7 separate regions of the Mus musculus genome follow, and regions 1, 3, 4, 5, 6 and 7 are each reported to be linked to region 2. The links are microRNA targets in miRTarBase. Many come from high-throughput screens and were not tested one by one. Region 2 holds a microRNA gene; each other region holds the end of a gene's coding sequence.
What was found. Region 2 holds the annotated microRNA mmu-miR-466c-3p (AUACAUACACGCACACAUAAGA, at 1,904-1,925, opposite strand). A microRNA usually pairs through its seed, bases 2 to 8, with sites in the 3' UTR of a target mRNA and lowers its output. Matches are read on the target gene's strand: a 7mer-m8 pairs with bases 2 to 8, a 7mer-A1 pairs with bases 2 to 7 and ends in A, and an 8mer does both.

Region 1 (4,068 bases), not on the chromosome of region 2:
AAATTACAGTGATAGCAATGAGATTTTAAAATCAGGATGTTAGCCCTGCAGTCCTTTTTAAAACCAGCTGCTACTGGTCGTGATTACTACACCTGTCTTGGTGTGTGAGCGCTGGGAGTTTATCGACAATGATCTCTATGCCAAGCGTTTAAACATGAGTGAGCCTAACCTGTAAGATAACGGGGGCAGTCTTGATTTCCTGATAGCTAGCACTGGAAAGGGAGCAGCAGATGCAGAGCTCCTTGGTGAATTCATGTGCTCGAGACCCTAGGTGTGGGTACAGGCAGCTCCACAGCTGTCATAAGCCTTGGGTGAGAGAGGAGCGCAGAGCTATGTAGAAATGAAAGGCTGCGGCGCTGCCCGCAAGGGTGTGTCGGGCTGCTTTTCAGCGTAGAGTCTGCAGGAATAGACAGGTTCCTGCTTGGACAAATGTCATAGGAAAAAGCAACCCAGTCTTGTTGGAATTATAGATCCCATTTGCCAGAGTGAAGGGCACTTGCTCTTTTAACTAGCTGAACTAGCTGGACCCTGGTGGCCTAGTTGCTATGGCAATACGAGCTCAGTGACCTCTCTTCTCTTGTGGAATGTAGGTGAGAAGGACCGAAGGGAGCCTGAGGATGCTGAACTGGTCAGGCTCAGTAAGAGGCTGGTGGAGAACGCCGTGCTCAAGGCTGTCCAGCAGTACCTAGAAGAGACGCAGAACAAAAAGCAGCCAGGGGAGGGGAACTCCACCAAAGCTGAGGAGGGAGATCGGAATGGTGATGGCAGTGATAACAACCGGAAGTGAGAGCTGAATCCAGTCCGGTCCGATGCCCCTCTGCTAAGTCGTAGACTAACTCGCAATGTGTCTTGTTCAAGCCCTGGAGATCACCTAATACTTCTCTGATTGATGTGATTGATGCGTTCGGTGTTGCTGCGACACAACAGAAAAGAATGGGGTGCTGGGACCAGCAGAAGAAATTAATTTACAGAAGAACAACACTAAGTCGGTGTGCCATCGACCATGCACAAGGGAGAGCGGGCTTTTCGGACCGCCTGCCTGACTCACAAGGCGGAGGGAGGGAGAGGACTTGCCACAGACAGAATACTGCCGTTTACATTGCTTCGATCCTTTGACTACTTTATCGGAGGCCAAAACTTGCACACAGCTATCAAGTGCTAAGTTCAGTTTGTCATTGTTGAAATGACCATTAGTATAGTGAGTCCACAATGTTTCCTGTTTGTCCTCTATGTGTTGTTACCACACGGTGATCTTTATTTACAGTAAATTAAGTTTCGTGTAAAGTATATATTTTTGGTAAAATGCAATCTTTTCTATGAAATGTGGGTGATGTTTTAAAGGTTTTTAAGCCTTATTTTGATAAGTCAATGTGCCATATTTAATGTACTTCATTGATATTTGTACTTTAAATGTATTATATAATTTTTCCCCTTAGGCAAGAAGCCAGTTGGAACCCAAGACTTAATTAATGAAGCTTTGCACCGAGAAAGGATGGAGCTGAAATCCAAAGTGAAACAGATAAAAGAACTTTTGTTAAAGCCTGAGACTCAGGCCAAGATTAGAAAGGAGCTTTTTGAAGGAAGAGTTTTTAATAATGGTAGTCCAACAAGCAATGCTGATTTCAACCTGATTTTGCCATAGCTCTCCACTGTTGTTATGCCTGGTAAAGTGTTTATGAACTCTCAGCCCATTAAATAGCTCTTTGGTGAGTAAACAGAGTGTTCTTACAGTTTCTACAAAGCCCACAAACCAACACTTGGTAAGGAATTAACAACTTCTTGCCAAAGAAAACATATTTTTGCCTTATCATGGTCATCATCACCATTATCACCATCATCACCATCGTCACCATCATCGTCATCACCATAAAGTTGAGTTTTAGAATGTTCGTTTTGGTATCTTTGACTCATTTTATAGAAATAACTTCTTAATTAGCTGTTGTAAGATGTTCCATGGGGTCCTTGCAGATAATATTGCGCATACATATATATATACATGTATGTATGTATGTATGTATGTATGTATGTATATATATATGCACACACACTATGAAAAACACTATGAAAAATCCTTTACAGACAAAAAACAACAAGAAAACAAAAATAAACCATCAACAGTATTCTAAGGGTCACCTGCCTCCTGTTGATGTAAGGGTCACCTGCCTCCTGTTGATGTGGCCCTTGTCACTTCAGAGGAAGCATTGTCCGGGCTTGTCCAGTGTCACAGTCCTTTTGCTGAGCGTTTGAATGCTTATTGCTATCAGTACTTGAATGAACATCAGTAAGTGTAATCATTGTAGTCATGGGTTAAGAATGTTTTATAATATCTATATTATTATTTTTCACTGATAAAAGTACAGTTGCATTTTTTTTTTTAATTTCTTAGTGAAGAATGTTCAGGGCTCTTATTTCCTACTCTATGAAGATAAGCCCAAGGCTGTGTTCTTTACGATTTGAGTAGTTTGCACTGGTTCATTTATAAACGAGCATTCTTGAGGTGTTTCCCCCCATGTGATGTTTCTTTGTAACAGCTCTTTGGGTAGTTACTTTAAAATTGCTGCTACTGGTAGATGATGGGGAAGGAAGTAGTTAGAGATGAAATATGTAATCCTCCCACACACAGTCCAGTTTGCTCGTGTATTCTGGTTATTTTTTCACTGGGTAGCTGATACTACATGAATTCATGATGTATTCCTTTATACGGCCCTACGTTTTCATGCCCTGTAATAAAAGTACTCTTTCCCCTGTTGCTTTTCTTCTTTTCTTTCCTCTGGAAACCATTGGGTTCTGGTTGGTGTTCCAAAGCCATGAGCAGGGACTCTGAGGTTTTAGTGCTGCCTGCCTTTGTGCTAAAGGAAGCATAGCACTTCACCACTTTCAAAGCAGTCAACATCAGACGCAAGTAACCGCAGAACAGAAAACTCAAAGATAACCCAAGTGGCGTCTACAAAATAACTAACCCTGTGTCCAGAGTAGCAAATACAAAGAGAGCAAATTCATCTGCGTGTGCACATCTGCTAGCTGCTGGCTGTAAGCCCCCTCTGAGAAGCTGGCCGTGAACCAGGAACCCCCCCCCCCCCCGAGTGGCTGTCCATGAGCCTTCTGTGACAGGGGCTGTCTACGAACCCCCTCTGAGCAGTGGAGGTCATCACAGCTTTTCTTGGGCAACTTTAAAGGAAGCAAAGATGCTTAGGTCTGTCCTGGTTTTTCAAAGGAGGAAACCCACTCCAGGGGTCGGGTGGCTGCCCTAGTCAAAGGCACACTGCTGTTAAGAATTTGGACCTGAGTCACAGCCTAGTGGCCCCAGCGCTCCATTGTTACTTTGTCCCCTGATCCACGAGAACAATTTCAGATCGACATTTCTTAGCACCAGTCTGTATCTTCTTCTCAAGGACTTATCCGCAAATCTAAAGAGCTTGAAAGATGTAGTGCTCCGATTCCATGTCTCTCTGTTAACTTCAGTTGCCTGTCAGTTTCTGTTGTTAAATACCCATGAAGACCTGGGCTATGGTGCCAGGTGATTTGGGCACATGGTTAAATCTCTTCCTTAAGTGGTTCTAGTAGGAAGTAATTAGTACTTTCTAAGTTAGGACACTGGGGGAAATTTATGCTGAAATGGTCAAGGATGTAAAACAAAAGAGCGCTGAATTTAAATTAAAATCTATTCTACCTAAAAGGTGACATTTCCCACAATGGGGCATTTCCTCCCTTTTACAAATACAATATTTCAAAAATTAAAGATGAGTAATAAAGAGGAAGTCCTTGAGCCCTCCCACCACAAACACACACAGACACACACAGTCACACACAGACACCCCCCAACAGTCACACACACATACACAGTCACACAGATACACACACACAGCCACACCCAGACAGCCCCCCACAGTCACACACAGACACCTCACACACACATAGTCTCACACACACAGAGACACACAGTCACACAGACACACAGTCACACACAGACACAGACAGCCCCCCCCCCCACAGTCACACACATATACACGGTCACACAGGCACAGACACACAGTCACACACAGCCACACCCAGACAGGCCCACCCCCA
Region 2 (4,068 bases):
ATTCTTATGTGTGTGAGTGTGCATGCCTGTGTGTGTGAATACATTTGTATGTGTGTGTATTTATATGTATGATCATATACACACATGTACGTGCACACACAATTATATGCACTTGTGCATACCTAGGATCCATCACACAAATACAGGGTGATCTCTAACTCATTATGAAGTTAGCATGAATTTGAACTCCTGAGACTTTTAACTCTGGCAAGTGGTTTTCATCTGATAAGTGACATTATTCCCTATACCATGAATATACACTCAATGAAACTCTAAGCACGTATAAATCAAATGGATGACTGCCATGTGTGTTTGTGTGCACATGAATGTGTCCCTAGTTGTGTGGGTGTATATATATATATATATATATATATATATATATATATATATATATATATGCATGTTCATATACGCGCATGTACAGGCATACTTCCCTATACACATAAACACAAACACAGGGAAAATCACATGAATTCCGGGCTGATCTCTAACTCATCATAAAGTTAAACATGAATTTGAACTGCTCATCCTCATGATGCTGGCAAGAGTATTCACCTCCTAACTGAGTCATAGCACGGGCCATTCGTGGGAGTATGTTTGCATGTGAGTATATGCATATTCATATACAGAAGTGAATATGTACACAACTATACACACATGCACATTCTTGGTGGGCATCACATGAATCGCATGCTGAACTCTAACTCATCATGAAGTTAAACATGAATTTGAACTCCTCATCCTCCTGACACTGGCAAGAGTGCTCACCTCCTAACTGAGACATAGCTCTGGCCATTCCTATGAATGTGTGTGCATGTGTGTATATGCATATTCATATAGAGAAGTGAATATGCACACAACTATACACACATGTACATTTTGGTGGGCATAATATGAATCCCATGCTGATCATGAACTCATCATGAAATTCAGCACGAACTTGAACTCCTGATCCACCTGACTCTGTCAAGGGATTTCACCTACTGAGTGAGACCTCTCCCCATTCAGTACTGAAAAATCTTAAAACTCTAAGTCACATGTCATTCAAATGGATCGATGAGTTGCACTGATGTTTTTGTGTGTGTTTCTGTTTGTGTCTGTGTACATGTACATATTTGTGTAGATAGGTACATCCATATACTCAAATCCACACACAATAGAAACAGATACAGATAGGGATACATAGGGGACATCACATGAATCCCAGGCATATCTCTAAGTCATCATGAAGTAAAGCATGAATTAGAACTCCTGATCCACAATCTTTCACACCTGATGAGTAAAACCTTTCACTGTCCCACTACTTCATAATCTTGAAAACTTTGAGTCACATGTCATTCAAACGTATAAATGAATGCAATTTTTTCCTGTGTGTGTGTGCTTGCATAAACACGTGTGTTTATGTTATGTATATCATGTCAACACATACAATGCACATACAAGTAAGCACACATGCACATACATGGGTTGCATGACATTAATACCAAGATGATCTCCAAATGAAGTTAAGCTTGAATTTGCAATCCTTATCCTCCTGACTTTGTCAATCTTTTACACCTGGTGAGTGAGTCCATTCAATGTCCCCTATTGCATAATCTCTAAAACTCTACATCACTTATCATTCAAAGGGATTGGCGAATGCCATTCCTGTGTCTGTGTATGTGTGCTTGCGTTTATACGTGTGTGTGTATGTTATGTATATTCAAATATAGACATGAACATGCACACACAACTATACACACATGCACATACATGGAGGAATCACAGGCTGATCTCTCATGAGGATAAGTGTAAATTTGAACTCCTGATACTCTTAACTCTAGCAAGCATTTTCACTCTAAGTCACTTATCATTCAAATGGATTGACGAGTGCCATTCCCCTGTGTCTGTGTGCTCATATGTGTCTTATGTGTGCGTGTATGTATATGTATATCATATTCACATATGTACATGCACACACACATCAACACATATACACATACGTAGGGGCAATCACATGAATGCCAGGATGACCTCTAACTCATCATGCCTTTACTATGAACTTGCACTCCTGATCTTCCCGACTCTACCAAGGGTTTTCCCGTGGTTTGTGAGACCTCACCCTGGCCCAGTCATACATAACCTCCAAAGCAGTAGGTCACATATCATTCAAATGGATCCGTGAAGGCCATTTCCGCATGTCTGTGTGCATGTGTGTGTAGGTGTGTGTATGTATATGCATAAAATATACACGCATATACATGCAGGCACTTACGCACACGGGCACATACATAGGGGCCATCACATTATTCCAGGATGATCTCTAACTGCTCATGAAGTTAAGCATGAAATTGAACTCCTGATCCTCCTGACACTGCCAATTATTTACACCTGGTGAGTGAGACCTTCACTGTCCCTCTACTTTATAATCAGCAAAATTCTAAGACATATATCATTCAAATGGATCAATGAGTGTCATTCTTATGTGTGTGAGTGTGCACGCCTGTGTGTGTGAATACATTTGTATGTGTGTGTATTTATATGTATGATCATATACACACATGTACGTGCACACACAATTATATGCACTTGTGCATACCTAGGATCCATCACACAAATACAGGGTGATCTCTAACTCATTATGAAGTTAAGCATGAATTTGAACTCCTGAGACTCCTAACTCTGGCAAGTGGTTTTCATCTGATAAGTGAGATTATTCCCTATACCATGAATATACACTCAATGAAATTATAAGCACGTATAAATCAAATGGATGACTGCCATGTGTGTTTGTGTGCACATGTATGTGTCCCTAGTTGTGTGGGTGTGTATACATATATATATATATATATATATATGCATGTTCATATACGCGCATGTACAGGCATACTTCCCTATACACATAAACACAAACACAGGGAAAATCACATGAATTCCGGGCTGATCTCTAACTCATCATAAAGTTAAACATGAATTTGAACTACTCATCCTCATGATGCTGGCAAGAGTATTCACCTCCTAACTGTGTCATAGCTCAGGCCATTCGAGGGAGTATGTTTGCATGTGAGTATATGCATATTCATATACAGAAGTGAATATGTACACAACTATACACACATGCACATTCTGGTGGGCATCACATGAATCGCATACTGAACTCTAACTCATCATGAAGTTAAACATAAATTTGAATTCCTCATCCTCCTGACACTGGCAAGAGTACTCACCTCCTAACTGAGACATAGCTCTGGCCATTCCTATGAATGTGTGTGCATGTGTGTATATGCATATTCATATAGAGAAGTGAATATGCACACAACTATACACACATGCAAATTTTTGGTGGGCATAAGATGAATCCCATGCTGGTCATGAACTCATCATGAAATTCAGCACAAATTTGAACTCCTGATCAACCTGACTCTGTGAAGGGACTTCACCTGCTGAGTGAGACCTCTCCCCATTCAGTACTGAGGAATCTTAAAACTCTAAGTCACACGTCATTCAAATGGATCGATGAGTTGCACTGATGTTTGTGTGTGTGTTTCTGTTTGTGTCTGTGTACATGTATATATTTGTGTAGATAGGTACATCCATATACTCAAATCCACACACAATAGAAACAGATACAGATAGAGATACATAGGGGGCATCACATGAATCCCAGGCATATCTTAAAGTCATCATGAAGTAAAGCATGAATTTGAACTCCTGATCCACAATCTGTCACACCTGGTGAGTAAAACCATTCACTGTCCCAAACTGCATAATCTAAAACTTTAAGTCACATATCATTCAAACGTATAAATGAATGCAATTTTTTTCTCTGTGTCTGTACTTGCATATACACGTGTGTTTATATTTTGAATATCATGTCAACAGAGGCAATGCATATACAAGTAAACACACATGCACATACATGGGTGGCCTCATATGAATACCAGGATGACCTCTAACTGAATTAAGCATGAATTTGCAATCCTTATCCTCCTGACTTTGTCAATCTTTTACACCTGGTGGGTGAGGTCATTCAATGTCCCCTATTGCATAATCTCTAAAACTCTACATCACTTATCATTCTAAGGGATT
Region 3 (4,062 bases), not on the chromosome of region 2:
TGATAAAAGAGCAAGTCATCCCTAGACTGTTCTTTTTCACTTCATTCAACAAAATGCTGCTGGAGTAAAGCCAACACAGCAAGTGTAAGGTACTTCCTGGATTGAGATCAAGAACTTCCTCATTTAAGAAGGGAGGAAAAACCGGGCGGGCGCGGTGGCCTAGACCTTTAATCCTAACATTCAAGCAGCAGAGGCAGGCAGGTCTCTGACTGACTTTTGAGGCCAGCCTACTCTACAGAGTGAGTTTCAGGACAGCCAGAGCTACACAGAGAAACTGTTTTACTTTGGATTTTATTGTTATGAAGAGACACCAAGACCAAGGCACTCTTATAAAGGAAAACATTTAACTGGGGCTGGCTTACAGTTTCAGAGCTTTAGCCATCATGGTGGGAAGCATGGCAGCCTCTAGGCAGACATGGTGCTGTTAGAACTGGGAGTTCTACAGCTTGATCAGCAGGCAGCAGATCTTTTGAAACCAGAGTTACAGATTGTAGTGAGTCACCATGTGTGTGCTCATAACTGAACCCAAGCCCACCTCCACAGTGACACACTTCTTCCCACAAGGCCACACCTCCTTCAGTAAGGACACCTCCTAATAGTGCTACTCCCTGTGGCCAAGCATACAGACACATGAGTCTACGGGGGTCATTCCTATTCAAACCACCACAAAAACCTTGTCTCAAAAAACCAAGGGGAAGGGGACAAAACAAGACCTCTAAAACATAGAGTTTCTTTAACAAATGTAAAGAAATGCAGGGTTGTAAAGGCATGTGGTTGGAAGTGATAAAAACAATGAGGCAGGTTACTGTCACTGGGCCAATGGTTACAGACACACCAGAAAGTGTACTTAACAGGGACATTTATTTGGGGGTTTGTGTGTGTGTGTGTGTTCCTGGAACTCATATCATCAGGCTAGGGGCATAGTTCCTTCATCCAGCAAGCCATCTTACTGGTGTGCTTTTTTTTTTTTTGAGATAGGGTCTCATGTCTGAAGCCTGGCCTCAAACTCAATATATAGTCAAAGGTGACCGAGAACTTCTTATCCTCCTGACTCTGCCTCCCAAGTGTTGGACCTTGAGGCCTGACCTCTATCTCCCTGCCTCCCTACATATTATAAATGTAACTTAAAAAAAATTCTTAATGGTAGAGAGGTCACTTCTGGCGAAAGCTTACTGGTTCTTTCTTGAGCTAACAGTAACTGTTAAGAAAGACTGACAAAGGGAGAGATGTCTCAGCAGTCAAGAACACTGGCTGCTCTTCCAGAGGACCCAGGATCAATTTCTAGTACTCACATGGCAGCTTCTAGCTGCCTGTAACTCCAGTTTCAGAGAATCTGACACCTTCATTCAAGCATACATGCAGGCAAAACACCAGTGCACATGAAATAAAAATAAATAAATTGATTTTAAAAATAGAAAGAAAAACTAACAAGCCAGGTGGTGTTGGCATACAGCTTTGATTCCAGCACTTGGGAGGCAGAAGTAGGTGGACCTCTGAGTTTGAGGCCAGCCTGGTCTACATTCTACATAGTGAGTTCCAGGACAACTAGGGCTACACAAAGAAACCCTGCCTTGAAAAATCAATCAATCAATAAAATAAGTAAGTAATTATATTTATTTTTTTAGCACCCTGATGAAAATATACTAGTGGAGAGTATTCTCTTAGTAAGCTGGTGAGGGTTCTTATTTACCCAAAGCCCCAAATGATTCAAACACATTCACAAACTTAATGCATTGCTATGTAGGTCTCCCAGTTTGCTCAGGGTGAAATCACTTTGTTCCCAATGGTGCTGCCCCTGACACGCACAATAATAAAGGAATAACTCTAACTTTTGCTTCTCTTTGAAGGAAAAGCCACTTAATAAACAATATTCTCTCAGACACAACTATACACATACATTGTTTTTATTTTACACCACAGGGCCCAATTGTTTGGCCCTGAAACTGAAAAACAAGGCATAGAAAAACCAAGGCAGAGAAAGTACATTCTGGCATTATGGTCAAGTATCTGTTCTACCTAAAGAGAAAAGGAGTGCTAGGAACAGCAACTTCTACAGACAAATTCAAAAGACTTCCAGAGAAATCCAGAAAGTGGAACTTAAGACTCGTTTTTCAGTCTGTTCTGTTTAATTCTATGGCTTTTACATTTCAGGTCTCAGCCTGGCCTTGGTCATAGACTCCAAAAGCCATGGGTGTATTTGAGGACCCTAACCCTTATTCCTCGCCAACCTCTGGGTGCTATAGCAAACTAAAGGCTTCCCTGGACAATGTTGTCTTCGAGCCCAGGCTTGGCCTGTCTGAGTGAGGGCTGACACTGACTCCCACAGCCCCCGCTGCTCCTCAGGACTTCACACTGAGGCTCTCCTAGCACACTGTTATTTAAAATGACTATTTCTGCTCAGTCCCCTACCATCCATCCACCACACCAAAACATAAATAGATACATACACATTTGAAAAGGTTAAGTAAAATTAGCTTTTAGAGCCCAGTAAAGGGATGGCCCACTGAAGCCTGAAGAAACTTGAAGATTCTGAAACAGAAGGAAAAAAATAACACAGAAAACCAGTGCTTCCCCCAAATACTGAAGCCCAGAGGCCCTAGGAAAATTTCCTACATGTCTAGACTCAGGTGAGACTATCACATTTTTCCAAGCCAACTTTGGGAAGCCTGAAACTTTGGGATTTTGAAATTTTCCAAGCAACACCAGCCCACAGCTGGAAGAGACTCTTGCGTAATCTCATTTACAGACTTTTGCAGAAAAACTACACTCCACCCCAAATGTTCCTAGGTCTGCTGAATCCTTTCCATGTGTTCTAATTGAATTTATTCAAGATTAGTCACAAAGAACAAAAGTGTGTGCGTGCGCACATGCGTGTATCAGTCGGGCTGCAGGAAAGCAATCTGATGATGGTTGCAAATAACCAAAAGGACCAGAAAAGCAGCTCTAGCCAGACTCTCGGGAAGTCAGACTCACAGCCCTGGGTCAGGTGGGCACATACGCCCGACTGTACCCTACGCTGGTTTTTCTACATGTCTTTCACACATGTAGACAGCTGCACAGTAACTCTCCTTTAAGATGTCTGCAATGACTTCATGTCACTTCTGCCACCAGAAATAGGATGGTTCTGTAGGCATAACCTCTAGGAACTGATGCTCAGGCTGCCTTGGGGGCTATTTTTTCCTTGCTTGACTTATTTGGTAGGGGGATTTGACATGCTAAGAACATGTCATCACTGCCCTGTCCGAAGCTCCACGCTCGGCTGAGGAGAAGCAGCGCTGACGGCACACACTCCATGAAGGCAGCGGGCAGCCAGCGGCTACCTACAAACTTGCTTCCTTGACCCCAGGCTTTGGTTTTGTTGTGGGCTTTGAGGGGACAGTGGTTTGTTTTTGTTTTTTGAGACAGGGTCTCACTCTGTAATCTTGGCTAGCCTAGAACTCACCATGTAGTCTAGGCTGGCCTTGAACTAAAGATACTCCTGCTTCAGTCTCCCAAGTGCTGGGATAAAAGGCATGCACCACAACACCCTACTATGATATCAGGGTTAAAAGAAGAACAGAAATCTAATTCTACAAGGATGGAGAAAGAGAAAATGCAAACATAAAATTCCACTGCCATTTCTGTTGATTCTGTAAGGAGGAGCTGAGCTGAGTCCAGTTGCTCCTTGCAGCCGGTGTCCAAGTTCCCAGTTACAGGAAGAACAGGTTCCCACACAGCTGGATGGCTGGCTCATGATGCAAAATCTGTCCGGACAGGAAAGCTAGCTTGTGGGCATACTTGCAAGGAGCTGGAACTCGGATGGTACCAGGCCAATTCCAGTACATGTGGCATAGTTTGAAAGTCAACCTAAAGTTAAGAAGAAAATGTGTTATCACTTCTACCTCCACCTAGGGGTGGGAAGGATTTCACTCTCTTGGGGATACAACACAGCACTCCTACCAACAGACTGGGGGAGTCTGGGAAACCTACTGTTGTTTTTCAGGAATTGTTAGTTTTATAATTCTTTCTTTAGTTTGGTTTGGGGTACAGGTTCTCAACTATCTGGCTTATGCTGGCTAGTAA
Region 4 (4,068 bases), not on the chromosome of region 2:
CTCAGAGCTGAGTCTGGGCTTGTTTCGGGGTTCCAGTTAGAACCCAGGAGACCTGTTTTGCCCTTGTTCCACCTCCCACCTCCACCACCCACCCCCACCTCCACCTCCACCTCCACACCACCACCACCACCACCACCTCCTGGGGTTGTTTGCATTACCCTGCCTGGCATTAATACACCTAGGAAGCGACAGACCCGTGGCCTCTCTGGTCCTAGCCTGCCTGCGCACTGCGCCGCCTCCCCATGTCTACTCACCCTCTCCACCCTTTTCTCTCTTGCAGACGTGGCCCTTTATGGTGGCCGGCAAACCAGAGAATGACCTGAAGGAAGTGGTGACCGCCAACCGCTTGTGTGGAACTACAGCATCCTGACCTTGGAGGTGCGAGTCTGGGAACCGTGAGCTCTGGGGGCAGTGGGCCGGCAAGGGTGACGACCCCTGCCCTTCCCTCCCTGCCTCTGCTGGTGCCTTGCATCGCTCCTCTCCCTATCCCACCCCGCAAGAACACTTAACTGCGACGAGGAGATTCGTTTCCAAACCAAAGGAGACCAACTGTACTTACCGATTCTCATCTATTTAACTTGATTAACTTCTGCCATGAATGACTGCAAGCCTGGCTGGTCCAAGTGCAATATGTAATTATATATATATATTATATATAAATAGATAAGAAGAGCCTATCAATGTGTATCTTTTGTACAATATGTTGTAAAATGTAGATCATAGAATAGCTGACTTTGACAGTCACATTTATAAAATAAGTCACTCGAAGAAATATATTTTTTTCAAACAGGTTTTGCTACTTCCGAAAATAAATCTTTCTTTATATTGAAAAAAAAAAAAAAAAGCCTGGACATTGGTGTGATTTCTTTTTTAAAATTTTGTGAAGAACATTGGAATCCATGGGGACATTTCATGATTAAAAGGTAGTTTTTTTTAACATTTAGCCCAAGATCCTAGAAAAAAGATTAACTCTGATTCCAACTAGGAAAAGACAAGTCATGTTTCCTACTGAAAACTTGTTTTGTTCATCCCAGTTATTTTAAGCCCACTAAAGATATTATAACTGTAAATAGAGAATGAACAGGATTACAGTTATCCAGTCACACAGACCCGAGGACAACGAAGAAAAAGAAAATTTGACTCTCCACTGTTTTACAGTGTGCTTGTTCTGAGGATCCTGATAGTAAACTATGAGAGTTTTATAACTTTCCGTGTGTTTTCTGTGATTTTAAAAACAGACCCAAACGCTGCTTGCAATCCAGTGAAGAAGAGATTGAAGCTCTCATGTGAATTTCAAATGCAGCAAGATATTTTGCTTGTTACTGACTGGCAATTAATTAATTAATTGCAACAGTAACCGTTCTTGCCTGCTTTTCGGTGCGGTTACCCCTTTCGTTAAGCTCCCGCCAAGATTTCCCGCGGGCTGGGTAGTAACTTAAACATCTTCCAGACTGCGGAACAGCACATAGGGGAAGATTAAGTTGAGATAAACAGAGAGGCTAGGCAGAGGAGCCTGGGACCCTGCTGCCTCTGCCCCAGCGCAGCCCGCCGCGGCGATGTGCCAGATGCCACCGCGGCTGTTTAATGTTCGGGGTTATGACCGCAGTGTTTACAAGACGCCCTCGGTTATTTATACTGTTATCCCTCTTAGAGGCCTTGAAACTTCCGCTTCGCTTTTAGACACCCCTTACCCCCTCCCCCCCCCCCATTACTTCTTAGCTGCTTTTGGTACCTGGTTAGGATAAGTTCTACTCAGGACTCCAGCCCACGTAAGGACCACGCGGGGCGGAGCCTTCGTGAGATCTTCCGGGAAACACCTATTCCAGGGGTTTGTCACAGCTGAGAAGCCACCGAGCCCCAGGTGCAAACTCCGCTGTCCAGTGACTCTTCATCTGTGTCGTTTGCACACTTTCACTGGATGATATTTCAAGGCGTCTGGCGACGCCTCAGACCTATCCCAACTTGACTTTCAAGAGTTCAGTTCAAACTCTAGGTGGTGACACCTGCTCATACGCTCACCTGCCTTCCCTTCCACCTAAGAGATGGGGCCCTCGCCAGACGGACCCAGGGATTCTGGCAGAGGAAGGAAGGTTAGTGTTACCACCAGAAGTCAGGCTGCGGTTAGCCCAGGAAAATTCCCAAGTTTCTAGTCACGTTTTTACCAGCCAAGTAAATTCTTGACGTTTTGCGCACTCTGCGCGGGTGGCCCCATAGAAGCTTTTTCTCCATAAACAGGAGACATACACGATTTTAAAGTCTTTGTTCATCCTAGTTATAATCTGAAGCCTCGGCTTGAGGAGAAAGGTCATGAGAAACCAAAGTCCTGGCTCCACACGGGGCTGTTTTCTCAGAGGGCCAGATCCAGCTTTCTCATCCTTACAAGAAAAAAATAATGATAACATTAGTAAGAGTTGGGTTTGTGTTTCCCCCAGTTGCTGTCCAAGCTTTAATCCCGCTCAATGAAATTATAATATGTGTGACCTCTTTGTGAAAGACCAGATCCAGCAAATAAATATCCAGTACTTGAATGAGTTGGCAGGTGACTACACCCAAACAGAGGGTGTGTTTTTAGCAGCGGTGGTGATGGTCCTTTGTATGGTCTAAAATGTGTTTCTTCTAAGCAGATAGATTTCCACCTCCCTCTGGTGTTCTCTGAATTTGCATAAAGCTGTTTACTGAAATTACTCCTACAAAATGAAACTTTTTTCAGAAAACCGTTCTCTGAACTTGCATAAAGCTGTTTAGTGAAATTACTCCTACAAAATGAAACTTTCTTCAGAAATAAGCGCGCGCTCTCTCTCTCCTTCCCTCCCTCCTCATCTCTCTCTCTCTCTCTCTCTCTCTCTCTCTCTCTCTCTCTCTCTCTCTCTCCTTCTCTCCCAACATCCCTCATCCCTTACTCCCTCTCTCCATCCCTTGTCCTTCCTCTCCCACAGAGCATCACTGGCCACTAACCCCCTCCACCAGACCCTGCCCACACTCACCGTGTTCCCATGTTCCCCTTCTTCCCTGCTCCTCTTGTTCTCACTTCTTCCCCAAAGTTTGCAACTCCCTGGCTGCCTGGTACCCAGCCTAGGTTCCAGTGCCAAAATTTAAGATGCGGTTGCAAAGGAGTAGAGACTATCTTTGTCCCAAGCCAGTAGAGCTGGGAGGGGAGAGGGGAGAGAATGAGGAGTGTCATGTGACCTTTAAGCTATAAAAAGTATCCTAGAGAAAGCACTTTCAAAAAGGACCAGGCAAATGACCAAATTACTATAGCCACCTAGGAGAAAAATGAGGTGTTTCCAAAAGTCTGAGTTCTCAGACACAGACTCATAATGTGGCAGCAAATGACACCTCTCCCCCTCCCTCCCTCCCTCCTTCTCTATCTCCCTTCTCCCCCCGCCCCCCCCCCATTGCTTGTAGGACTTAAAATTTTTACAAGCAATTCAGTGTGCTTTTAGCAGGTGTGCCCACTCTCAAATCAAAGACTTACTCCAAAAAGTAATAATAAACAGAGCTCGGGTATTTACTGGTTATATATATAATCTCCAGTCCTTAAGAGAACACCACCCAGGGCGACTGTTAAACCAACGCTGTTTTTGTGAGTCCCTATCCTCCTCCGGAGAGACTGAATCTGGAGGTCTGGGGTCACAGGTTTCTATGTGATGTTTCTGCTGCTGGTCTGGGGACAGTTTGAGAACCATGATTTGAAATGCATAATTAAGGAAACAAAAAGAGTTAAAGGTTAAGGCAGAGGAAAAGAGAGTGTGCCTGTGTGTGTGTGTGTGTGTGTGTGTGTGTGTGTGTGTGTGTGTGTGCGCGTGCGCGTGCGCGTGCGCGTGCGCGTGCGTGTGTGTGTGTGTGTGTGTGTGTGTGAGAGAGAGAGAGAGAGAGAGAGAGAGAGAGAGAGAGAGAGAGAGAGAGAGAGAGTATGCTTCCAGTTCAATGCTCTAGTTTGCTGCTCACTCTAGGGTAAATGCACACAACTGTCAGCCTTGAGTTGCTCACCCTTAGAAAACATGAGTTCGGTTCTGTACTAAGGATATGGCCCGACCAGGTGCGCTCTCATCTTGTTCCCTAGAAGAT
Region 5 (4,068 bases), not on the chromosome of region 2:
CAAATTGGTAGTACCCTAGTCTACATACATGAAACACGTGTATTTCTTTAAGATTTATATTCATAATATTCTTCAAAATATCATTCAAATTGTTTAAATAATGAAGCTCAATAAATATTAATAATGTGAATAATAACTGGCTGACTTTTATTTGGTAAATAGGTTAATCCTGACCTTAAGAAAAATGAAGACTACCCTGCCTGGTCAGGAGAGCCATATGTACAGCAATCAAAAAGGAGAGTTCAACTTTTTGGTTTGCATAGTTTGTTTTTCTGCTTGAACAATGATGCACAGAAGGTTTCTGATTTCATCAGTATCCTGAGAGACCAAATTGTGCCTAATCAATGAAAAGCTCTCATCCTTCCTATCTATTTCTGGGGCAGTCCATACTGATCCAATCCTTAAAAAGTTCTTTAAGTTTTATAATATTTATGTGTGATTAAATCTAAAGGGTCACTTCTTTTCAAATTTTTATGTTTAATTAAATATAATTACACCACTTCTCCTTCCCTCTACCCACTGCTTGCTACCCATTGTCCCCTGACTCATTTTACTCTTTATAAAATGAATTTTTATTAATTATAATTCCACATGCATAATGTATTATTGCTATGTGTATGTATAAATAAATGAATAAATATATAAATGTAGCCCGTCTTTATTGTTGCTTTATATATTGCTTTCTTTATTGTATTCTTTTTAGGGTTGACAACATAATATTGGAGAACCATTTTTCCCATTTCTTTCTTCATTTCACCCACATACTGATATTCCCTCTCTAGTACTCCTCTCCATCCCACCATAGCCTCTTTGATCTTTCCAGTTTAATGTAGTTGTTCCAGGTAATAAACTCACTTCTGAAATTTGAAGCTAAGTACCATAGATGGGAGATAAGATACAGTGTTTGTCTTTCTGAGTTTGGGTTACGTCACTGACACTTTAGAAATGTCAGTGTCTAACAAACTTAATTTTTCATCATTTCTTTTGTTCATTTAACAATAAAAAATTAAACCTGTTCAAATTTGTTACCAAAAATAGTTTTTAAAAGATGATTCAATTTCACTTAGAATCATAATAAGTTAATATAAGTTATTATAATCAAGGTTTTGATCCTACAAAATAAACTGAAATCTCAAGTATTTTTATGAAAGCCAGCCATTGACTATGAACCATTTTCACAGAAAAATAACGAAAATGCAAATATTATAAAGTGTCTATCTTCAAATACCATAAATAGAATAAAGAAAAAGAAAAGATCTACTGAATGGGCTTAACTAGAATGCAAGATATGGAGCACAGCATTGGAATCTGAAAGATCAATACAAATTATTCCATCTGAAAATTACAATAACATACTAAAAAAATTGCAGCAGACTGAATAGTCAAACAAGAAAATATTCGACATTCACACTACTGTGCTTCAAAAGGGAAAAAATTATATATATACATATTTATAGTGTTGCCTGACCACTCAAAGACGGGAAAGCTGAAAATCTTTTAACTTTAGTAGAAGTTAAAACCTTAAAGATTCAAAACTCTTTGCGACTCTAGTTAGGGTAAATCCAGTGGTGTCCGCACATATGATAAACACAGTCAAATTTCATGAAAAAATTCAATTACTTAAAATAGACATGAGGGGATGTTGCCTTACCCACACAAAGACAAAAAAAAAAGCAAAACAAAAAAACAAATATCTGTGTATCTGTTCTAAATCCATGACATCTATAATCAATTAAGTAGCATGCACTAAAAGAAAAAGTCTATTATAAATATGCCTAGATAGACTATCTTTCTGAAATGAAATAAACAATTTCACAAACATAAGGCTTCTTTGGCAGTATTAAACCTAACTGAAAGAACTCATGTATGCTAAGATATCACTGTGGAATTCAACTTTTGCCATCAGCTGACCTATTCTTAAGAATTGCTCAAAGAAACAATAGGAAAAAAAGATTTTATCCACACAGAAAAGATAGATTCTCTGCAGTATTCTATCAGATAGTAAAAGAACAGAGAGAGTAAATGGTTCTCACTGTATTCCATAAAACAGAAAGGAAATAAACTCTCTAGAACTCACTCTATGAAAACAGTATTATCCTATTACCAAAGTCATATAAAGACACAACAAAAAGAAAAAAACTATAGAATTTTTGATAACGATGTAACATGGAGATTAAGCAGCTCATTAATGAATGATGAGTGGGTCAAGGAGAAAATTTAAAAAAAAAATCCTGGAATTAAATGAAAATGAAAATTCAATGCAACAAAACCTGATATTATTGATAGTTCATTGATGAGATCTTAGCATTTGAACTTCTTTTGTTAGTTCTAGGTCTGATATAGACCTATTAGACTGGCACAGAAGAGAACGTGTACAGGCAACTTGGAATTAGAAGTTAGATCTAACTTGAATAGAATGATGTCAGGTGGACAGAGGAGAGTGGGTTGATATATAAGATTTGCCTCCTGGTCCAAGCCTAGAGTGTGAGGGTAGATCTGGCTAGGTGAAAAGGTCACATGTGGTTTCAGAGGGGCCTATGGACTAGGTGATGGGTAGATAAGGTCCTGCAAAAGCCTAGGCATCATTTAGAGCCCAGTCAAGAGAGGCCAGAATAGGCCCAGGCACTAGATGCGTGACCCTGGCTATATATGGCAGTTTGAGGAAGGCAAGTAGATGGGAGCATCAAGAATACATACCATACTATACCCTAGAGAACGATGTAGGGTATATAGCAAGGGAGATAGTTTGGATGCAATCTAGAAGTAACATGTGCTGTTAATAGGTAGTTTAAAACATGAAAACAAAAATAATTGAAAATTCTAAAATCTTGACTTATTTACCCACATGTCCCTCAACTGAAGAATGGATACAGAAAATGTGGCTCACTTACACAATGGACTAATATGCAGCTATTAAAAATAACGACATCACTGAGCCACCTTGGGCGCGAACTCGGCAGATGGTCCCACCATATCAAGAGGACTGTCCACACCATAGGCACCCTAGTATACCCAGGATCTTGGGATCACTGGTGAGTGGAATGCAACATCTGTTCCAAAACAACCGGGAGGGACTTGTGCCAGCAGGTACAAAAATACAGGAAACCTAACCAACCAGCACTTGGGGTTCATTCCAGTAGGGACCAGCCCTGGGCCACCTTGGCCACAAACTGTATAGATGGTCCCACTGTCCCCAGAGGACTCTCCATGCCATAGGTGCCCTAGCATGCCCAGGATCTTAGAAACACTGAAGAGAGTCTGCCTCCAGAGAAGGTTCTGACTGCGGAACTAAGGTAAGACAGCCATCTTGTATACTGAGTCTTTAAGAGACCAGTCCACGCAGGGGAGCGCACAGGCCACAGAAGCAACAGACAGGGTCCCTTCATGCCTTCATCCTCAGCCAGGAGGCAGAGCTGAGACCCAGACCTCTGGGCACCAGAGGAAAGTTGGCCTCCAGGGAGGTCTCTGACTAGGGGACTCAGGTGAGAGCGCCATCTCCTTTACCGGGTTTCTCAGAGACCAATCCAAGCAGAAGAGCATGCTGGCCGCAGAAGCAACAGAGATTCTGGACAGGGTCCCTTCGGGCCTTCATCTTCAGCTAGGGGGCAGATCTGAAAACCAGACCTCTGTGCACCTTCCCTGCAAAAGGAGGGTTTGACCACAGAAAGTGTTCTGGCCACTGGGACTCAGGAGAGAGTTGTACTCCCAGGAGTGCTGACAGAGGCTAACAGAATCACAGGAGGAACAAGCTCCAGCCAGAGACAGCTAGAACATATAACACCAGAGATTATCAGATGGGGAAAGGCAAACATAAGAATCTTACTAACAGAAACCAAGATTACCCAGCATCAAAAAAAAGTAGTACTCCCACCACACAGCAAGTCCTGGATACCCCAACATACCTGAAAAGCAAGATTCAGATTTAAAATCATATCTCATGATGCTGGCAGAGGATTTTAAGAAGGGCATTAATAACTCAAAGGAATACAGGGGAACACAACTAAACAGGTAGAAGGCCTTAAAGAGAAAACACAAACCAATAGACTTAAAGACTTATAGAAAAACATA
Region 6 (4,068 bases), not on the chromosome of region 2:
TTTTAAAACTACTATTCAATTCTTTTAAAGTCCCTTTTAAGTTTTCATTTTGAAGGCACAGTGCATGAAATAAAACAAAAGACTGAAGCACTTAAGACAAATGGGTGTTATGTCATAGAAATTGTTGTGGAGAATTTTGGATCTGGGGAAGTATTTGGAAAAAAAAAGAGGTAAAAGGAACATAAAAAAATACCATGTCACACTTCCAAAAAATCTGCAGCATTGAATGTAGCTAGTACATTCATGTTACACTATTTATAAACATTGTAATTGTCTGTATTTACATAATTTTTATCTAATTGCCTCAAAATGGTAACCTATTTTCAAATTTCAAAATCAACCAGGATAATACTTTGAGAGTTAAGTGGAACTATTAATGAAGTTTTTCCAAGTATAAAGGAAAAGTGTATTTGGGAGGGTTTTCTTCAAAAAACTAGAAACCCAAATTCAATTGACATTAATCGAAGGCCCTATTCACCCCCCAAAACTGCTATAATTAAAACAAATCAGAAACCTAAAGTTATCAACAAGTTGCTAGACAGAAAGATCATTGAATATTTAACCATTAGTGGAATTTTAGTAATAACAATAAAGGAAAAATTGGGGGAAGATACTTGGGTGCTACCATAAAACAATCCACCAGAGACCCACACTGCAGGACACCATGACATGTTCATAGCCAAGAAGCTTCTGAGAGAGCAGGGACCAAACCTGGCAGGAGTGTGAGTCTGGCAGACGAGAAACCTCTAATGCTGGGGACAGGTGGAAATGAATGGAGTATTGAGCCGTGGTTCCTGGTGAGCTGGTGCTAGCTCAGAAACGCAGCAAGTTCAGACATAAGCACGACCCTTTTATTTTTCACTCATAATTAGTTTTAAATTCAATATTCATTAATTCATCAAATCTCATTCAGGTGAAATTACCAAAGATTAACCAGCCAAGCACACTGAGCCAAACATACAATGTTTCCTTCCCCAAAGTTAACAGAGTCCCAAAGCCAGTTCTCTTCGGTGAGAATGGCAAGTGTTTTTCGTTGGATCAGATCCCAGCACCACCCGGAGTTCACTGCTACACCAAAGCTGGTGTAGTTACTTGAGATCATCTTACCAAACCCTATGAGCACAAGTGCATCCGCACAGGGAGAACTGTGAACATCACCGATCCATCACATTGTTTTTGTTAAGGAGCAGGGAGGGAAGAAGGCTTATAAACTCATCACGAGGACAAAGCAACACCTTGTGAGCAAAGGAAAGGCACATCTCAGACTGGGGCAAACTTCTAATACTGTGACACTTGAGTCCAGGACTCTGAAGAAATGGAAGGTCTCCAGGAGAAACACTGGAGGCATGCACTGCCCACCCCATATGGCTTCAGTGTCCTCGGCTGCCGAAGTAGTGTAGGATTAGATCGGTTTCACAACCCAAAGAAGGCTGGGCTAAGAACAAAGTCTTGTAGTCATGGGTCTTGTACATTCATGTTCATAGGTGGCAGGCTGGGGAGGCCGGATTTTCCGCCTCAGTACATTAGAAGTTCATTAAAGACTCAAAACTTAGAGCAGAATTTGGGTTTCATTTCAGGAAAAGATGACTAAGAGAACTATTCTATATATTCATCTCTAAAAAGGTTTCATACATACTTAAGAAGGCATGGCCTGTGACCAAGGCATGGCCTGTGACTGCTGAGATGAACTGTTAAAGACACACTTAATGCCAGAGAACAAGTGGAAAGTGTCCTTTAGTGAACTCTAGTAACGTGAAGGCTGTCACATGAACTTGGTTTCTATTTGTCCCAAGCAGGGCCCAGCCACAGGCCACTTGTTGGTTTTCTGACTTGGCACTTTTAAAAATAAAGCTGAAAAAGAACAATACACATCATTTAGGAAAACAAAGCATTACCGGAAGAGATGGAGTCATGTGCTCTTCATTAGCATTAACTGCCACTAATTGTTCTGTTCATGCAGAGAAGCAAGGTTCAGATATGCTGATACCAGGACAGATTCCAGAACAGCTGGACCTAAGCCACCTAAGTGACCGTGACTAACAGATACCAAGATCTCATTAGCCCCTTCCATCAACTAAGATCTCAACTTTACACAGCCACTTGGGTGCATTCCTCACCAAGTGTGGCCGAGTGACCTGGGTGAGTCGAGCCTTAGGGTAACTGATACATCAATGGCATGAATGCAGTTTGGAAAGGTAAGAGCTAGTTTTGTGATCCCCTGATTTAGTACAAGTTCAGCAGCAACTTGGCCATTAAAAACATTCAAAGATATTAAACTGTTACGTCATTGGTAAGACTCACACTTACAAAAAGCATCATTCCACTGAACAGCATTCAGACAGACACAATAAAATACCAATCTTTTAGGCCTGACTGGCATTGAAGAGGACACCTTCATACCAATGTTCTATCACATGGCAGTCCTTCAGTTGACTTTTTTACATGGAAAGAACCATATTTCAAAGCTTAGAACTGAAAATTTTAACATAATTGCTTGATCAAAAAAAGAAAAAGAAAAAGACTGTCAAGGGAATCATAGGACAAAGGACTGAATTACTTTTGGAGGCCCATGTGCAGAGGCCACACTATCTCCATGACAGTATGCCATCACAGGGCAGAGGCTTGGGCCGGAGCATCAAGTGTAGACATTTTGGATCCAAGTGTACTGAGAATGTGCAAGTAGGTTTCTTCCACTTTTAGATAGTTTCAGCAGTAGAATTCAGAACCTTTAGGTGTGGGTCATATGGAAACCGCAGGTGTACACACAGAAGGGCTGAAATGTAGGAAATGCTAAGGAACAGGCGTTCCTAGGAGAATGAGTGCTTCACAGATAAAGCAGCAGCACCTATGGGTTTTACCAGGATAAGACAGACAACGTCCTTGCTTCTGCTCCATCTCCCTTTCACCTCTACTCATGGGACATCTGGTGCCTCCACAGCAAAGCCAGTGAGTTCTCCTCTAGGATAAAGATATCTAGAACTTTGCTAAACCTTACAAGAGAGGTAGTAAAATCCTGCTGAGAGCACAGCCCACCAGTTCTGACCCAGCTTGGAAACAGGTAGAAAGACAAATACGGAAGCCCGTTTATTCCATTTCCTAATGTCAGATCTGTCTAAGCATCATCCAGCCTCCATTAGACCTGAATAAGAGAAACCCCAGCTATGTGCTAACTGGAGAAGAGAACTCCTCAGTAGATGGAGAAAAATCTCGAGTTTTTAAAGCTTTGTGTCAGAGTCTGACTGGTGTCCCTGCCTTAATGTTTCTGGATTCTTTTGGCCTTTAAATTAAAGAGAACAAAACTAAAGCCACTAGTAAATGTCTGATGTGCAAGATACAACATCTACTAGCTGGCTTTATGCTGTCTCTATAGAGTCTCTGAACAGCTCGTCTTAAATTAAAAAGGGAAACAAAGCGGCTGCCCCATCTTCTGCTGCATAAATAGAAATCAGATTTTTTTTTTTAAAGAAAAGGTTAAGAGTACTTTAAGGAAGGGAAGTTCAAAACTGCCTGTGACATTCAGAGAGTATGAATTTAGCAGGCTAACTTCCCAAAGCTCTTTGAAGGCGGAAGGAATTTCTCTTCTTACTGCAGTGTCTCCCAAGAAGAGCTGTCATTTTGCCTGGTACGTATACAGGGAGATATGCAAACCGTGCTTTTCAATGTTTGCTAGAATATAATGTTTCCTCCTCTGTGTCCGTTTCATCCTGGAACTCATGGCTTAGGAGGGACTTCTTAGAGCCAGTTGACATCATGCGAATTTCATCTTCATATTCATCATGATGCTGCCGCAGCCGGTGGAAGCCATCTTTGTGTCTATTAGACTTGATGGAGCAGATGCACCAAATGATGCAAGCCGTTAGGATCAGTGCTGACATAGTGGCACCTGTCCGACAAAACCATGCGGGAGTGTTAACAAGCAACTACCTCTGATGACACTATTAATAATATGACATTTACTTTAATTGCATGCAATTAAGAGCAATTTGATTGTCTGTTGATGATCCTCTGTGGTAGACCTGGCAGACAAGAAGTCCGGGGCCCAATCTCTAGCATCTCAACAAACCCACT
Region 7 (4,068 bases), not on the chromosome of region 2:
GGAACCAAGACCTAGAAATAAAAGCCCTCCTTTACAGCCTGTACTTTCTTTACTTATCTAGTTTTAAAGCTCACTCAGTTTGAACATAAACTGACGGGTGGGTAGATTGCCTTTCTGCTGGTATGGAAGGGTGGGGCTTCTACCTCTCCCTAGGAGGCCTGAGTGTTAACTGTAGCTGACCTAGAGGCCTCGAGTGACTACGGTGAATTAGTGCCATGTAATACCACGCGTGTCACAGAAGCCACGGGCATTGTAATGCTCGCTCCCCACAAAGCCACCAACCAGTGTCTTTCCTGAGCTTCCCATTAAAACTGCTGATCTCTCTACAGAGAGAAGAAGAAAGAACTGGAACGGGAAGAGTTGTGGAAAAAACTAGAGGAGCTGCAGCTGAAGAAGGCTCTAGAGAAACAGAACAATGCTTACAACATGCACAGTATTCGCAGCAGTACCAGTGCCAAATAAAGATCAGCTCCCCCTGCTGGGCGGTCGTTTTGTACACTTTTTTTTTTTTTTGAATATATAAAAACTTCAGAGCAGACCTCATCAGTATAATATAATTAGGAGGCCAGTTTTTCCTGGCAAGCGTAAAAGCGAAAGAATTATGGACTAAAACATAGCCCTGTGCTGTATCACGGCCACAGTATATTGTAAACTCTGTCTAATCATGGATTGTGTCACTGTCTCTGTTGAGTGAGGTGATCGTGGGAGTGGCAAGCGTGTGTTGCGACTTGAGCCCGGTTGTGCTGCACACACAGATGAAGCCGTCCTCTGCACACTTCCTTTATCATGTGTTTTCACCGTGCTGCACACCTTGGTGCTGCACACCTTGAGTACATCTGAGGAAAGAGCCTCGTAAGATAAGCGGAGGGGTTGCCCTTCCCTCACCTCTCCTAGAGAGGTGTGGGCAGGGGACAAGAGCCCAGCCTCATTAAAGACACTGCCATACTCTGGGTTTTACAACATCTGACATTTCCAGGCTTCTGAAGCACAAAGTATTAAAGTTGGGGGGGGGAAGTAAACCAAAATTCTGATGTTCCCAAATCCCCCCTTCAGCAGCGGCTCCCCGGAGCGTGTGCGGAGCAGCACAGGCCACGGGTGGACCCGAGGCTCACCTCCTTCATTCCTCTCCTCCAAGGCTGGAGGCAGGGCCTTCCCAGTCCTCACCCTGCCAGTCCCCAGGCCTGCCTGCCTGCAGGGTGGAGCTCTGGGTCCCTCCCACAGTGTGATGCAGACTGCTAGCTGTCACTGCCTGGCTTTATTTAAAGGAACTGCAGCAGGTGTCCTCAGAGCTGACTATGTAGAAGCTTTGTCTGTTTTTACCTGGTCAGGTATTTTTCACACTGTTGTTACCAGTACCATTCCAGCCTCTTGCCTTGCAGTTGTATGGAAAACTGTTTTATAATGAGAGATCTTTACTGAGGATTGAGCAGCATTTAATAAAGTCTATGTTTGTATTTTGCCTTATGTCATTTGCTCTTTTGTCTCTGGAAGATATTTATATTAGAGAATTATAACTTACGGATGTACTCTAATTAGAATTAGGTTGCTTGTGGTCCAGGGATTAGGAGTCTAGCCATCTAACCGATCTTTTCATAAAATCCCAAGCTTCTTGTCCCTCCGTGTTCTAGGACAGTTTAACATTAAAGCTAGTTTTAACTAAAACGGGAAATCTCAGAATCCATGGCAGTAGCAGTTCTGGGAAAGGCAGGGAGACTGTAACATGGTTTCAACTAAACACCAGTTTAGAAGGGTCACAGGGGTTTTTTGTTGCTGTGACAGCAGCCTCCATGACCTCTGGACAAACTCCCTTGTAATACAGTGGCCTGTAATTTTTGCTCTCTTTTCAAGCAGTGGGCATCCCAGGGAGGGCCATTGTTGCAGTCCAATGAGGCTGCTCCCTTTAGGCCTCTGCAGAATAGCCCTGGGCGACCCACACAAAACACAGGGTTGCGGGCTGGTGAGATGGCTCAGTGGGTAAGAGTACCCGACTGCTCTTCCGAAGGTCAGGAGTTCAAATCCCAGCAACCACATGGTGGCTCACAACCATCTGTAACAAGATCTGATGCCCTCTTCTGGAGTGTCTGAAGACAGCTACAGTGTACTTACATATAATAAATAAATAAATCTTAAAAAAAAACAAAACAAAACACAGGGTTGCCTTTCCAGAAAGTGGAAGTCGGGTTTTTATTCTATGAATAGGCAAAAATTACTTCCTAGTTATCTAAAGCAAAATTAAAAGCAGCTCAGCTTTCACAATACAGGAAAATAAAGCTTTAGTGTTCACTGAGGCAGATATTTAACTACTGAAGTGCTATGCAACTGTGAACTTTAAGGGCCCTGCGTGGTAAGCACACATCCTGTGACTGGACTGCACCCCTGCCCCTCGACTTTCTGTCCTTCACATATTTTTAATGTCACTGATGCTTTATGCTTGGCATTTGTGCTAAAATGGTGTTTTATAATAAAAGTTTTAGGCTAAAAATCTAAATTCTTGTATATATGTGAGACAAAGGTAGCAGGAATATTTCACAGTACAAGTTTATTTCTAGGGATTTGGGCAAAACAGTTTCTTGCTGCTAATTTAGAGACAAAAATGTCCTCCTTATACCTGTGAGTATTTCCCTTCCGATTCCCTAAGGCATAATTACAAGTTCTTCAATGTTACCTCTGGCCACATGTGGAACTCTATTATAGAGTTTTTGGTTTTATGTAGAGGTGCTGTTTATCAAAGCCCTAAAGGCCACCCTTTTAGGTGTGTGTTTCTGTAGGACGCAGGGACTAGCTCATGTGGTGTGGCCATCCCTCTTGGCCACCTGTGGACAGTGCACAGCTTACCTCCCTGTTGGCAGTGATGTGTGCTGAGTCAGAGCCATTATGCTGCGGTCCAGACTTACACTACCTTCTGGGTTTGCTGGCCATACAGCATCAGCGTCCAGCGTTGCTGCCCGCTGGCTTACTGGGTATTCACTCCCATCCCTTTTGTGCTTGCCCAACCTTATTTACCTGTTAATGAAATCAAGATACACTAAGTAGGTGCCTACTGTATATACCTCTGCTAGCACTTCTAGCACATCAGAAATACAATCACAAGTTTCTAGTAGCCTTTAAGGTCTCGTGTAAAGCTTGCGGGGAGTGATGTAGGCTCTTAGTCTCAGCAATGGGAAGGCACGAGGAAGGCCTGGTCTACACAGTGATTACAGCGGGGCTACATTTAAGGAAAAACAAAAAAGTCAAATCTAGGCTCTAACAAGTTCTTGTTAAGTAACAGTAGATGGTCTAAAAGGAATTCTGCGTACAGGGCACATCAGTCCGCTTTAAAGAAAAAAAGCCCTAAGGGAAAGAAGAAGCCTTAACTATTTAGTGACCAAATAGGAGGAACCTCTCCAAGGCACTAGGCAGCTCTGCAAGATGTCCGTTAATAATTTAAGTACTTAAATAAGTTTCAGGTTATTCACTGGGCGTTTCCCTCCCGGGCCGGGTTTGAGCCTCCAGTGCGATGGACGGGACTGTCCTTCCCTGCAGGGTCCCTTCAAGTGAGTTCAGGATTGCTGGTGTCTCGCTCTGTCGGAGTGCCGTGGCACGGGCGCTTCAGCTTATGTGGTTTGTCGCCTGGCCTCTCCGTTTAAGGTATCGTTTCCTGATTTTGATCATCCATTTCACGCTTAGTTTGGCAAACTCTGCTGCTTTAAACAACGCCAGGAAAGCCCCGCAGAGCAGGGCGATGGTGTTCCAAGGATTGGCTGTGATTATCTGTGGGGCAGACAAGACCGGGATTGCTGGTTGGCGGCAGCCTTGACTCTGTCTGTCTCAGACTTTGGAGCCAACAGAGACGCATGCTGCTTCTGCCCTACCACTGCTCAGAAGGGAACTGTGAGCCCCTCCACGTAAAAGGATTCCGCCTCAAAAATCTTTGTGTAAATAAGACATTCATACTGTGCTTAATCTAACAAGTGACCCAAAGAAATTTCCCTAAACTATACCTCAGCCTCAAGGTTGGTCCCTCTGTCTGATCTCAGCTACCTCAGCCTTCAGCTGTCCCCTCACACTCATCCTGGGGACTCTGCCACC

Region 1: the mRNA of Akap7 is a reported target of mmu-miR-466c-3p. Seed matches in the 3' UTR shown: 7mer-m8 at 1,999-2,005, 7mer-m8 at 2,003-2,009, 7mer-m8 at 2,007-2,013, 7mer-m8 at 2,011-2,017, 7mer-m8 at 2,015-2,021, 7mer-m8 at 2,019-2,025 and 2 more.
Region 3: miRTarBase lists Piwil2 as a target of mmu-miR-466c-3p. Seed matches in the 3' UTR shown: 7mer-m8 at 2,441-2,447.
Region 4: the mRNA of Tcf21 is a reported target of mmu-miR-466c-3p. Seed matches in the 3' UTR shown: 7mer-A1 at 630-636.
Region 5: the mRNA of Prl5a1 is a reported target of mmu-miR-466c-3p. Seed matches in the 3' UTR shown: 7mer-m8 at 616-622.
Region 6: the mRNA of Cpd is a reported target of mmu-miR-466c-3p. Seed matches in the 3' UTR shown: 7mer-m8 at 1,630-1,636 and 7mer-A1 at 281-287.
Region 7: miRTarBase lists Pacc1 as a target of mmu-miR-466c-3p. The part of its 3' UTR that is shown has no 7-base or 8-base seed match.

Annotation. Positions count from the first base shown.
Region 1 is chr10:25,167,771-25,171,838 of GRCm38, reverse strand. Akap7 (A kinase (PRKA) anchor protein 7) reads left to right here. Exons shown (of 8, transcript NM_001379238.1): 8 at 591-2,749. The coding sequence ends at 787. Among named protein-coding and RNA genes, the nearest start is that of Gm36313, 16 kb to the right of the region's middle.
Region 2 is chr2:10,481,877-10,485,944 of GRCm38, reverse strand. It overlaps Mir466c-2 (microRNA 466c-2), which reads right to left and starts at 1,979; the gene lies at 1,890-1,979. All of the region lies in intron 10 of Sfmbt2 (Scm-like with four mbt domains 2), which reads right to left. It overlaps Mir467a-3 (microRNA 467a-3), which reads right to left and starts at 2,267; the gene lies at 2,185-2,267. It overlaps Mir669a-6 (microRNA 669a-6), which reads right to left and starts at 1,749; the gene lies at 1,663-1,749.
Region 3 is chr14:70,370,591-70,374,652 of GRCm38, forward strand. It overlaps Piwil2 (piwi-like RNA-mediated gene silencing 2), which reads right to left. Exons shown (of 23, transcript NM_021308.2): 23 at 1,887-3,846. The coding sequence ends at 3,690. Among named protein-coding and RNA genes, the nearest start is that of Slc39a14, 21 kb to the left of the region's middle.
Region 4 is chr10:22,814,039-22,818,106 of GRCm38, reverse strand. It overlaps Tcf21 (transcription factor 21), which reads left to right. Exons shown (of 2, transcript NM_011545.2): 2 at 281-844. The coding sequence ends at 370. It overlaps Gm10824 (a long non-coding RNA gene), which reads right to left. Exons shown (of 5, transcript XR_380181.3): 2 at 3,991-4,059; 3 at 2,985-3,145; 4 at 1,733-2,375. Among named protein-coding and RNA genes, the nearest start is that of Gm10824, 2.7 kb to the right of the region's middle.
Region 5 is chr13:28,150,955-28,155,022 of GRCm38, forward strand. Prl5a1 (prolactin family 5, subfamily a, member 1) reads left to right here. Exons shown (of 5, transcript NM_023746.4): 5 at 163-641. The coding sequence ends at 348. Among named protein-coding and RNA genes, the nearest start is that of Prl5a1, 11 kb to the left of the region's middle.
Region 6 is chr11:76,778,528-76,782,595 of GRCm38, forward strand. It overlaps Cpd (carboxypeptidase D), which reads right to left. Exons shown (of 21, transcript NM_007754.2): 21 at 1-3,883. The coding sequence ends at 3,657. Among named protein-coding and RNA genes, the nearest start is that of Gosr1, 17 kb to the left of the region's middle.
Region 7 is chr1:191,349,371-191,353,438 of GRCm38, reverse strand. It overlaps Pacc1 (proton activated chloride channel 1), which reads right to left. Exons shown (of 8, transcript NM_025864.4): 8 at 2,155-3,750. The coding sequence ends at 3,589. Ppp2r5a (protein phosphatase 2, regulatory subunit B', alpha) reads left to right here. Exons shown (of 13, transcript NM_144880.4): 13 at 330-1,458. The coding sequence ends at 462. Among named protein-coding and RNA genes, the nearest start is that of Pacc1, 26 kb to the right of the region's middle.